Linked DNA regions of Oryzias latipes. The protein of the gene in region 2 interacts with the protein of the main gene of each other region in a pairwise test. Links are inferred from orthologs where the notes say so. Each region holds a gene or a part of one and is shown on either strand. Other genes may lie near its edges.

Region 1 (5,925 bases), on a different chromosome or scaffold from region 2:
GTCAGAGCTGGACCTTCTGCTGTCCTGCATACCAGAAAGCTGAAAGCTGGCTTCATAAAACAAAGCTTTAATTATGTATATCAATACATAGATTCATATCAATCATGCAAAGTTTTGGGGAAAAACTGAAAAATACAATGTGGGAGAAAAGCAAAAGTTTTTGTGTTTTTAATCCAGACTAAAAGGATCTTTAGGGAAAACAGAATAAGTCTGCCAGCAGGTTTCAGCCGGCGCTGAGCCTTCAGCAGTGTCGATGTGGGGGGGTGAACATGGCCAGGACTGTTTCGCTTAAAGGCACGGATGTTTGCTGCATGCAGCAAACAGGTCCTGACTGACATCTGCAGCTCCACTGTTTGCTAAACAAGGATTCGTATCAAAGTAATCCGTTTGCATGGATCCATCATAAACTACTGGTTAACCAAACAAGATGAAACGTTAATGACAGTCATAGAACATCGGATGGGCGGAGACTTGTCCTCCTTCATGAACGGAACCGGAGCAGCTGTTTATTTCTCTACAGAAGCCAGGGGGTACTTCCTGTTACCCTTCCGGTTTGGATCGCTGGGAAGGAGGGGGTCACTCAGTCAAGATCTAGGCGACTAGTTGTCCTCCCGGAGAGATTTGGGGGTGGGGGCGTGTTGAGCCGGTTTGTTAGGGAGGTAAATGACCATAGGTGTGGTGAAGCCATGTCTCTGGTGGAGGAGAGTCAGTCTGAACACTGATCAGCTTTCAGTGTGAGGGGGTGGAGCCATTGACCATTGACCTTCACTGTGGTATGGGGGGGGGCTAACTTCTTCCTGAAGTTAGTCTTCAGTTGAGCGGTTGGACGTTGGCTGCCGTCAGACAGACAAACACAAAGGTTAGCGTTTATCTCCAGACGGTCCTAAGGCGGTTCAGGAAGTCCCATTCTAACTCTGAGAGGAGCTGCAAACACTGAAAGGGTCAGAGGTTCGGCTGTGTCCACAGCTGTTTAGACCAGCTGGACTTTGTCTCAGAACTTTGACCAATTCTACCCTCATGATGCCGTGTTCTCCCTCTACTGCAGCTCTAGTTGGCAGGAATCAGCTGTGTTTATTCTTTCATTTAACCAGATCACCAGTTTTTCTGCAGACAGTTTTTACAACCTGTGAGCCGTTATCTGAGGTCAGTTCTTCATCCTTGCCTTTAGGTGGAATTATTTCAGTGAGAACATGTCTACCGGACCCAAACGACATGCTTTGTCCTTTCTAGAGATGAATTCTATGATCACATGCTGAAAGGCTTTTTGCGGTCAGTCAGCCTGTAAAACCAGGGATCATCAATGGTCACCATTAGGACCCATCCACCTACGGCACCACAGCTGGCAAATGGTCGGTAGCTCTGTAAGATTGATTTATCGTGATCTGCAGGAAGTTTCTTTAGGTCACCAACATTATGAAGAATTCTAAAGGCTAAGCGGGAAGTCTGTGAAGATGGCGACGGATGAACCATCAGTCAGTTTGTGGTCTTCAGTGAGGGGCTCCAGCTCTAAAATGAGAAGGGAGGGGCCGAGAGAGTTTAGGGAAAGGCGTGTCGGCACAGGGTCAGGGGGTTACAAACGGCCCACGCTGGCTTTGATAAGGATCTGTCATCATAGTGAAAATACATCTAATGTAGAGGACAGCCCACAAGCTTTAACGAGAACATGGAGGGGCCAAAACTGTCTGTGCGTTTGAAGGCAATTGAGTTGCTGTTTACACTGGTGTGGTGGGCGTGTCACTCGGTTAGATGGTTCACCTGTTCACTCGGGTGGAATGAACACCAGTCGGCGCAGGTGAGCCTGGGATGTACACCATGTTGACCTCTTTTGACGCTTCAGGCATCGCTTTCTCATGACCTTTCTCATGACCCTTTACATAACCACAAATGCTAATAGTAACGACTGAACAAAACAGCTACGCTTAAGTAAATCATTTTCTAAACACACAGACATCTGCACGCGTCATCAACGGCGACTCGCAGCAGAACCTTTAAATGGAGCAGACATGTAGCGGCTACACAACATAAAGTCCAACAAGTGCAAGAACATGACAGCAGTTGAAAAGACTCTGTTGTGTTTGTGGTTTCAAAGCGAGTTCAGACCGACGAGTTTCGAGTGAGGATGTGAAAAGAGCGGGAGATGGTTCATCTCTGGGGTGTGAGGGAAGTGAGTCCCTGAGCGAATAGAGGAAGAGGATCTAATGAGGCTGAATGAAGCCAGTTCAGGTCAGTAGGATCTGAAAGGCCCAGAGTGAAAGCAAAAGCTCTTTATCTGTTTGGTTTACAAGCATCACAGTGACACAAATGCAAATTGGAAGAGAGATCAGAGGTCAAAGACAACCAAAGAATGTAAATCGGAGACGAGCTTAGTGACCCGAATGTCTCTTTCATACCGAGACCCAGTGGCTTCTGCGAGGAGGAGGTCCTCAGCCAGATCCACGGAGCTCAGGCTCTTCAGGTTCTCACCAGAGGAAAAACGGGCTGTGAGTGGGACCCTGGCTCAGCCTGATCCAGATGATTCCAGTAAAGGTGAAGGGGAAAAGGGAGGATTTGAAACGGAGACAAAGAAATCAACCACTGAGCTGTGGAGAGATGCCAGTCAAGATGGTCACCAACACGTCAAAGACCACCAACATGTGGCCTTGGGGGCCTTATATCTGAAGGAACAGCTGGTAGATTGGAATGAAACGCCATCCGTTTGGTTGATCTTTTTCAGATGGGAGTCTGACCTGAAGACTGGAAGAGTCTGCCTTTAAGAGGCAGACATTGAAAGGAGGTGAAGGATCTGTTGTGAAAGGGAACCGTGGATGCAGGTCTGACTGAGACTTTAGCAGCGGGACATCACTTGGGCGGGGTGAACAGTTCTCCTTTTTAGACCGGGACCCAGCTGTAGGTCTGTCTGGACCAGCAGGCAGGTCCTGAATAATGACATCTGTCACACTGTTGGTTCTTTTGACCGTTTGAGGCAGAAAGGCCTGATGACGCGTTTCCGTTACAGGTTGTGTGTAAACGTGTGTGTTTCTGGTTCAGATCCTCAAACATTAGGTCACTGGAATGATGATCCGGAGCTGACAAACCTTTAAAATGCTTTTCATCATGAAAGTGTGAACAGAAAATAAACCCCCCCACTCCAATGAAAGTCATGTTTTTAGCATGTTCTTGTTTTACATACATAAAAGATTACACAGCATTTCTGAGGAATTCTTTATTCAAAACAGGATGAATCAGGAGCTGATTTAAAAATAAAAAGCCGTTTTGTGACACAGCATGTGCAAGGGGCGGGGCCAAAGTCCCATTTCTGATGAACTCCTGCCACGCGGCACAAACTATGTCCCAGAAAATGACAGGTCCTAATCATCGTTAACATATCACCAAAAACAGATGATCAGAGTGGGACCTGAAGGACTGGATATGAAATGGGCGATAACTCGTCACAGCGAAAGAAAAGAGGAAGTTCCTCATTCCTCCTTCTGCAGTGTGATGGTTCTCATAGAAAGGCTGTATAACAGCTGCCCTTTTGCCCTTCCTGTTAACGTGAACTGCTTCCTGGAGTCTCTGCTGCTGCCTCATCACATGCCTGAGCAGAAAACACCTGTCAGATCTGGCTGTCCTCTTCCAGCCAGGCTGTCAGGCTGTCTGATGGGAAAGATGGGGACGGGGGTCATGGGGTCATGCAATAACAAAAGCATGAGGTCGTCTGCATGGACATGGTGTTCCTCAGGGTAGAAACACTCTGACGGTGAAAGGAGGCTGGTCTTGATCATCGACTGTAAGGGAACTGGACTGAACGAGTGTGACATCATCCATAGAAAATGGCTTACACAAGTCAGTACGGACGCCGCCGTGTTGGAGTCAGATGACATCACTGAGCAGTGATTGGTCAGAGTAGGGCTGAGTCATCATTTCTATGGCAACCACGCTGGCCAATCCTAAGTGAGCTCATTGTAAGGCCACATCCCTACCACTTGAAATCGGGCTCGTCCAGCATTTTGAACGTTGGACGTGGGGGACAGCAGGCTCCACCTACTTTTACTGAGTCATCTGATTGGTCCGATTGTAACTTGAACTAAAAAATAAATCATTCAAAAGGAGGATCATCAAGAAGGTACCAGATCCAGAACGGTTCTTCTGACCAATAGACCGACTGACTCACAGCTGTTTGTTTCGCTATAGACGTCTGTGGGATTTTGACTTCTTGGAGACACTTCCTGTTTGGAACGCCGGGGGGGGGGTCAGAATGACTCCTAAAATGATGCCATCCATTATAAAACCGGATGGTTTCTGTGCCGGCATCATCCTGTTAGGAACTACCAGCAGCTGATACTGATGACCAACTCTGGGCTTTTGAAGTATTACAGAAACTACTGATCAGATATTGATTAATATGGTCAATCAACCAAAACCTTTGATCATTTCTAATTTAGTAGAAGCTAATTTGGATGCATTTAAGTGTGCTGGGACAGTCATTTCTAAAGTTTCCATCAGGGAATCATGACATGGATACAGCCGTGAAAAGGAAACCCAGCTTCTCCTGTGATCCCAGAGTGGATTTTCCAGCTCATCGCTGAGTATCATGGCTATCTGCATCTGTAGAATTTGAAGCCACATTTACACGCTGTTCTTTCCACAGTTATCATGAGGTCCAGAAGTTTCACACCCAGATCCTGAGAGTGAAGGACCGAGACGACTTCCCCATGCTCCTGGTGGGAAACAAGGCCGACCTGGAGCAGCAACGAGTGGTAAGGGAGTTTCTGTCTGCCCCTCTGGAGACACGTAGAATCCAGACACCCCCACTCCAGAGCCAAAGTCCAGTCAGAAAAGAGCCTCTTCTAGAAATGACTGATGGCCAGACCTCTGTTGTGTGGCACACAGAAACGAGCGATGAACACCAGAACATGCTGATCTTGTTTGTGTGCAGATCTCCAGTGAGGACGCCCAGGCCTTTGCCAGAGAGAACAGGATCCACTATATGGAGGCTTCAGCCAAGAACCGCTACAACGTGGACGAAGTCTTCCTGAAGCTGGTGCACATCATCAGGTGGAGCCGCACTCTCATGAACTGAGGTCTTTCTTATTGCTTTGGTTCAGTTTGTTCATAAAGAGCCAGTTGATTAACACAAGGCCAGAAAAATCACACCAAGTGGTGTGATTGCAGACGGTATGATCCAGTTTAGTCCAGATGATTCCAATCCTGAGATTACCAGACGATCTACGGATTACATGGAAGCATTTAGGGTGGAAGCAAAGGACGGCAGTAGAGAGGAACACTCCCCCCACCGCGATGTTGGAAAGGAGGAAGAATCCAACTTACATCTGAGTCACTGATGTCAAAGAAAACGTAGGTGAAGACCCCTTGAGGAGACTGCGTGGGGGGCGGAGTTTCAGGGAAACTGGGACTGTACGGCCCGGATTCAGACCAGACCCTCATTTGACGCCCCGCAGCATCATTTCAGAGTCATGGAGACATTCCTGGATCTTTCTGGCTGCCTTCCAGAAGCTTCCATGGAATGTGAAGTCAAGCAAAAATCTGGAAAAAATCCAATGTCAACACTTTGCATGGAAAATACCAAATGATCGGAATTATTTAGAGATCTGAATGAACACGAGGAGGCAGCATTTGTCTGATCCCAGTCCCAGTTTTAGACGGGATTCAGCCCGGACACGTTTGGTTCGCTTAGAGTGAGCCAGAGTTTGTTTCCCCCGATAATCTGGAACAAATGTCCACCCAAGTGGACCAGGAACCGCTCTCTGACCCATCTCTGGAGGTGGTCTGGGTTAGTTTCCTATCGGACGGAGGTTCGCTTCGCTCTGAGATTCCTCAGTCTGAATACAATCCGTCCTCGGAGCGGAACAACCGGACCGAACGGCCACCGTAGTCGACGTGAACGGAGCAGGAATGAAGGAACAGACGAATCCAAAGCAACGATGG
Region 2 (5,925 bases):
AATTTAGCCTTAACCCCAGAGCCTTCTGGGTAAGCCGCCCCAATACATCCAAAAATGCTTTATTTAGAAATAAAAGCACGCTCGAGTTTCTAACCTTCCTACTGGCCGGCCTCTCTCAGAATGGACCTCCTGTCTCCACCCTCGACCTTCCACTTTCCCGTATCAGGAGGAGAAGGTCAGTCTCTGCAGAGGCACCGCTCCACATCCACCCCCAACGTCCACATGGTCAGCACGGTGGACCTCGCCAGTGTCAGCATCATTGAGGTCAGGCTGACCGCCGATGTTCTGAGTTCATTTGATGTGGTTACTGAATGTGGATGGTAACTGTCTCTCCTGTTTTAGGAAGCACTGAAGTTCAACACAATAGGTAAAACTCCTCCATAGATCCCTGGGATTTCATTCCCTTAACTACGTTCTTACTTGAGGTGATCTGGCTCTTGTTTTTTGTAGGTCCCGAACCCTCACCCAAACCCTCCACCAGTCCGCCCTCTTTTCTTGGTTCTCCTGGGAAAAAGCCTCCGAAATCCCCCTCCGAACACAAAGAGCGCAAACCTTCCTCGTCTGATGACAAGAAAAAGGTGGTAGGTGGTCTTCAGCTTCTTAAGGATGTTGTACAGTCGCTTACTTACTTTGCACTAAAGCAGCAAAAAATGCATAATAAAGAAGAAAAAATCACATAGAAGTCGCACTTGTGGGAGAAATAACAATATTTTAACAAAATATGGGAACAAGAGCAGACATTTCATCTTGAAAGGCAAATTAAAATAACACAAGAGATGACAATAATTGTGAATATAAGCATGCTTTACTAGCATAACCTTATTCATGAAACACAGGAGGACTCTAGTCTATTAGCACAACATTTGAACAATTATTCAGACAATCAAATAGAACATGCTAACAAGTTAATCAAATCACTTAATCTGTTGAATTCTTCATCCTCTTTGTCACTTTGGAACAATTCTGCCAAACCCGGTATAATACTGATGCACACACTTACCGTGTCCTCTAGTGGTTGTTGCTGCTATTATTTATTTTTAAATCACTTCGAAGTGGCACCATCCGTCTAACTATGTAGCTTAAAAACGCTACTTATACACCGAAAAATACAGTAACTTTGTGATGCTGCAGCATCGAGGCAACAGGGACTCCAGTTACTACTGGGAGGTCCACTCTCGAGAAGTCCAGATCCAGAAGAGGATAGGCACCGGCTCCTTCGGGACAGTCTACAAGGGAAAGTGGCACGGCGACGTGGCCATCAAGATCCTGAAAGTGAAGGAGCCGACACCTGAGCAGCTGCAGGCCTTCAAAAATGAAATGCAGGTTCTACGGTGAGCAGCTCCGACACTCCTTCACCACAACAGATGAAGGAAAATCAACGTTGTCCTCACAATGAGCGTTGTTTTTACCTCTGACCGTGTCTCTCCCCCGCAGGAAAACTCGCCATGTCAACATCCTGCTGTTCATGGGATACATGACCAAGCCCAACTTCGCCATCATCACGCAGTGGTGTGAGGGCAGCAGCCTCTACCGCCACCTCCACGTGTCGGAAACCAAGTTTGACACCATGAGGCGCATTGACGTGGCCCGACAGACGGCGCAGGGCATGGAGTAAGAACCACTGTCACGTGAACACGCTGGGTCGAGCTGTCTGAGCTGCACATGCATTTCTGTTCCAGATTTTTGACTTTCTGTCCTTTTGTGTCCCACTGCAGTTATCTCCACGCCAAGAACATCATTCACCGAGACCTGAAGTCAAACAGTATCCCTTTCTGGTTCATTGGGTCTTTACATTTGGGTGTATGGAGGGCTTTTATGTGAAACACTCAGGAACTGGAGCAGAGTTGAAAAGCAGCTGCCAGTCGGCTGTGTTCTCACGAACGTTTGCTCTGTTGAAGCTTTTCCTGAGCTCCGCTGCAGACATTTTTCTCCACGAGGGCTGGACCGTAAAAATAGGAGACTTTGGTTTGGCCACGGTGAAGGCTCGATGGAGCGGCTCTCAGCAGGTGGAGCAGCCCAGTGGATCCATTCTGTGGATGGTGAGCTTGTTTCACGGCCATGAAGGCATGAACAGCGGATTTTAGCAGGACCCATCCTACCTTTGGTTCTGTGTCCTGGTTCATTGCCTTCACAATGTCTGCTGATGTTCCGCCTAACGCCTCTGTTTACGGCTTGTGTTCCTGTCAGGCTCCTGAAGTGATCCGAATGCAGGACAACAACCCGTACACGTTCCAGTCGGATGTGTATGCGTACGGCGTGGTGCTGTTTGAGCTCATGTCGGGAACGCTGCCTTACTCCAACATAAACAACAGAGACCAGGTGGGAACCTGCACATTCCTGCCTGCTGTCAGCTCTTCAGGCACACGCGATCGATTAAAACACTGTTTGCTACTGAGGTTATCATTAAATCCTTTCTGTGAACAGATTCACACCTTTAGGCCAAACCTATTGTCATAAAAACGCTGTATTTTTTTTTTTGCGGTTATGCGTACATTCTCGCGCTCCTACATGGTGTTTCCTCTCTGAGACGTTTTCTCCGTCCACCTTCCCAGATCATCTTCATGGTGGGACGTGGGTACTTGTCTCCTGACCTCAGTAAGCTCTACAGCACATCACCCAAGTCCATGAAAAGGCTCATCGTCGACTGCTTGAAGTTCAAGAGAGATGAGAGGCCTCTGTTTCCTCAGGTGAGAGCTGCACTGGTGGCTGGAGGAGAAACACACTCAGCTGCACGTCTATTGAACTTAGCAGTTTAAGGGTCCCGGACGAACCATAACGTGGGGCCCTCTGCAGCCGTTGGATGAATCATTGTTAAAAAATGATAAAGTAGCTAAACGTCCGGCGAATAACTTCTTCACTGGTCTAACTTTTAAATGGCTTCAATGCCAGAAATCCGACTGTTTTGATAGACATCTGTCGTGAAAAACCTGGAACAGAAAAATGAAATCTTCTGTAAAGTTTAGGAAGTCATGAAACTTTGATATTTTGGATCCAAAAAACATAAATAAAATAGTTTAACATGAGTTGAATTTAAATTGCAGCCAAAGTTCAACCTCACTCTATTGGTGATGGGAGTTTACGTTGCCGTAAAGCAGTTTGTTGTCGTCGGTTCAGTGTGTGGCGCTTTCAGCTTTCTGTTGTGAAATGCTACAAAATGCCGGCAATTGTAACTTTACCAATGAGTGGCTTTTCAAGGAGAGGTGTCAGCTGTGGCCACAGAAAGACCCTGAAACACATTTGGCACCAGAAACGTGCAAAATGCAGACTTTGCTTCAAGTCCTTCGACATCAGCATGACATCAGCATGACAGAGGCCGGGCTGGTGAGCGTCATGAAAGGGCCAAACACGCTGGGCTCTAACCTCACGTGTTCATGAAACCAGAAGATGAGCTGCAATTAGAAGTAGAAAAGCCACAATATGTCCGTGTCGTAGACATGTTCCATTTCATGTGTTTGTCAGGAAATCACCCGCCTGGTTTGCTCTTTCTACTGACTTTATCCACAAACATTACAGAGTAAAACGTTGGGGAAGTATTAAACATTGACTAGTATGAGCAGTTTTATTGATATTGTTCATGAGTCAATCCTGACAACAATATCTGTTACAAAGCTGCAACGTCTTTGGGTGACTTTGTCAATTGCGTCATAATCTTATTCTGATTTTTGCTATAATTAATTTAGAATTTGCTTTGTTTTTTGTAAAACTACAACAGTTGTAGTCCTAAAGCGAGGAGATCAGGACGCATCTAAAACTTGCATTACTCAAACACGCTGGTTCACTCGGAGAGAGAGGAATGATATAAACGGATTTCTGTGGAGTTTGTTTGAACAATAAACTGTAATGAGTTGTTGTGATGATTTTGAGGTGATTTATGGTGAGTTACTGAGAAACTGCTATTGTTTGTCTGGGGTGTTTTCCTGTACTTGATTGACGTTCCTGCCTTCCCTCTGCAGCTTCGCATTAAGGCAAATTCCGGCTGTAACTCGTTTTCTGCATCACCACAGACAAAAATAAACAGTACAAACCAGTCAATAGAACTACTTCCAACGTTTTACTCTGTAATGTTGGCGGATAAAGTCAGTAGGAAGAATAAAATAGTGATACGGTGATGAGCACATAAACAAAACGGATCATGTCTATGACACGCACACTATGGCTTTTCTTCTTTTTTGAATTCCTTTGAATTTGTTCTTTTCCTGTTTTGTCTTCCTGCACTTTTGGAAGTGTGGCAACAAATTTCTTCTTTCCTTCTTCCCTAAACTACACTTCATCTTACTACTTTTTTTGTAAATCTCCTTCAAAGAGTCTCTTTCTGCTCCTCAACTTGCTGTTGATGGAATAGTCCATTCCTGCAGAGAGACGGGGAGGAGACAACACTTTTACACGAGCAGGCTTATGCCACATCAGTGATTTGAGTTTTTTTTACGACAGAGTTGAATATTAAAGGGTGTGGAAATTATTTTAGACATTTTTTTATTCAGTGTTTAGCCGAAGGGCAATCGGGAGCCAGTTTAGCTCGTGCTGGTTTGCGGCACCTTCCGTCCGTGACACCAGGGTTCGAATCCGGGCTGCTCCCTATTCCCTTCTCTGCTTCTGTGCCGGTCCCAAGCCTGGATAAATTGAGAGGGTTGCGTCAGGAAGGGCATCCGGCGTAAAACATTGCCAAGCTAACCATGCGACTCTTCCTCGAAAGAGAGGTTGTTTCGCTGAGGCTCCCCTTGATGGGAAAAGCTGAAAGAGACAGAAGTTTAGCTGAAGGGCAATCACCTATCTTTGCCTAATGGTAAGTCCACCCCTGGCTTTCGGTCAAGACGAGCTTTCTGCTAGAGAATGACACTTAATACTTCATGGGTTAAATTTGTTTGAGCCTTTTTTGTTTTCTTTTTAAATAAGACAAGAAAAAAATCTGTCACGTTTTGTGACTCGTATAACTGGCTCTGGCAGTCTTTTCAAGGTTCACACCAGCAGGTGGTGCTGTTGAACCCTTGAAACTTCTGTAACTTTTTGGATTCATGTAGATCTTCAGTTTTACACTAGGTGTTCCTAAAATCCAACGCACTGATGTAACGGCATTTCAGATCCTAAAATAAACACAATAAAAGCAGAATAAAGCAGCAGTTAAGTTCTGAGAGAGTGTGTCAGCTAACACAACATTCCTGCTTGGAAGTGAGTGACCTGTCTTTGAAGTATGGTAACACCATAATGAATAATAATAGATACTTTATTTATCCCATACTGGGGAAATTCTTCTCCGCATTTTACCCATCCTCTGGGGGAGCGGTGAGCTGCAGCTGAACGGCGCTCGGGAGGCGGTAGCGTTAAGGGTCTTACCCAAGGGCCCTCACTGGGTGATGTTAATTGTTCACCGTTGATATGGTAATTTCCCCCGTACCATTGCTCATTCTCCTCCGGGAATTAAACCCTGGATTCCTGCGTGGTAGCCTTTCACCTTACCATGCAGATTACAGCCTTTTTTGTTTTGTTTGATCAGCTATTGGTGTATAACAAAAGTGCAAGTGATTATTTAATCAAATAGTTAGACAATTAGGTAATTAACTAGTGGTAAATTTTTGTTATTATGATAGACGGACCAACCTACGAGCACTTTAAATTTTGTTGTGCATGTGACAATCAAAAAAGTATCAATCAAATCTGTCGATCTATCGTTCTGTCAATTGCTCTATTGATCATTCCGACTATCATTCTTTTTATTGGTCTATCAATTTGTTTTTCTGTCTCTTCTGTCATTCTTACTATCATTCTGTTATTCTATCATTTTGTTTTTTTTATTGTTCATCTATACATCATTCTATCCGTTTTTCTATCATTCAGTCTATTCTATCGCTCTGTTCCATTAATCTATTTTGTTCATTCTATTGTTTGGTATCATACTATCAAGTGTTATATATTTTGTTCTATTTTTTG

The links.
Region 1: the proteins of araf (region 2) and ras-related protein R-Ras interact in a two-hybrid assay, tested with the Homo sapiens proteins (2 studies listed by BioGRID). The link is inferred for Oryzias latipes from reciprocal best matches to the Homo sapiens genes ARAF and RRAS.

What each region holds. Positions count from the first base shown.
Region 1 is NC_019866.2:25,002,177-25,008,101, forward strand, and holds part of ras-related protein R-Ras, read left to right. Parts: intron 1-4,627; coding exon 4,628-4,736; intron 4,737-4,915; coding exon 4,916-5,034; intron 5,035-5,925. UniProt on the Homo sapiens protein: GTP-binding protein with GTPase activity, likely involved in the regulation of MAPK signaling pathway and thereby controlling multiple cellular processes. Regulates the organization of the actin cytoskeleton.
Region 2 is NC_019867.2:28,416,357-28,422,281, forward strand, and holds part of araf (serine/threonine-protein kinase A-Raf), read left to right. Parts: coding exon 1-29; intron 30-119; coding exon 120-264; intron 265-342; coding exon 343-367; intron 368-450; coding exon 451-581; intron 582-1,131; coding exon 1,132-1,331; intron 1,332-1,434; coding exon 1,435-1,611; intron 1,612-1,715; coding exon 1,716-1,762; intron 1,763-1,920; coding exon 1,921-2,039; intron 2,040-2,187; coding exon 2,188-2,319; intron 2,320-2,552; coding exon 2,553-2,687; intron 2,688-5,925. UniProt on the Homo sapiens protein: Involved in the transduction of mitogenic signals from the cell membrane to the nucleus. May also regulate the TOR signaling cascade. Phosphorylates PFKFB2.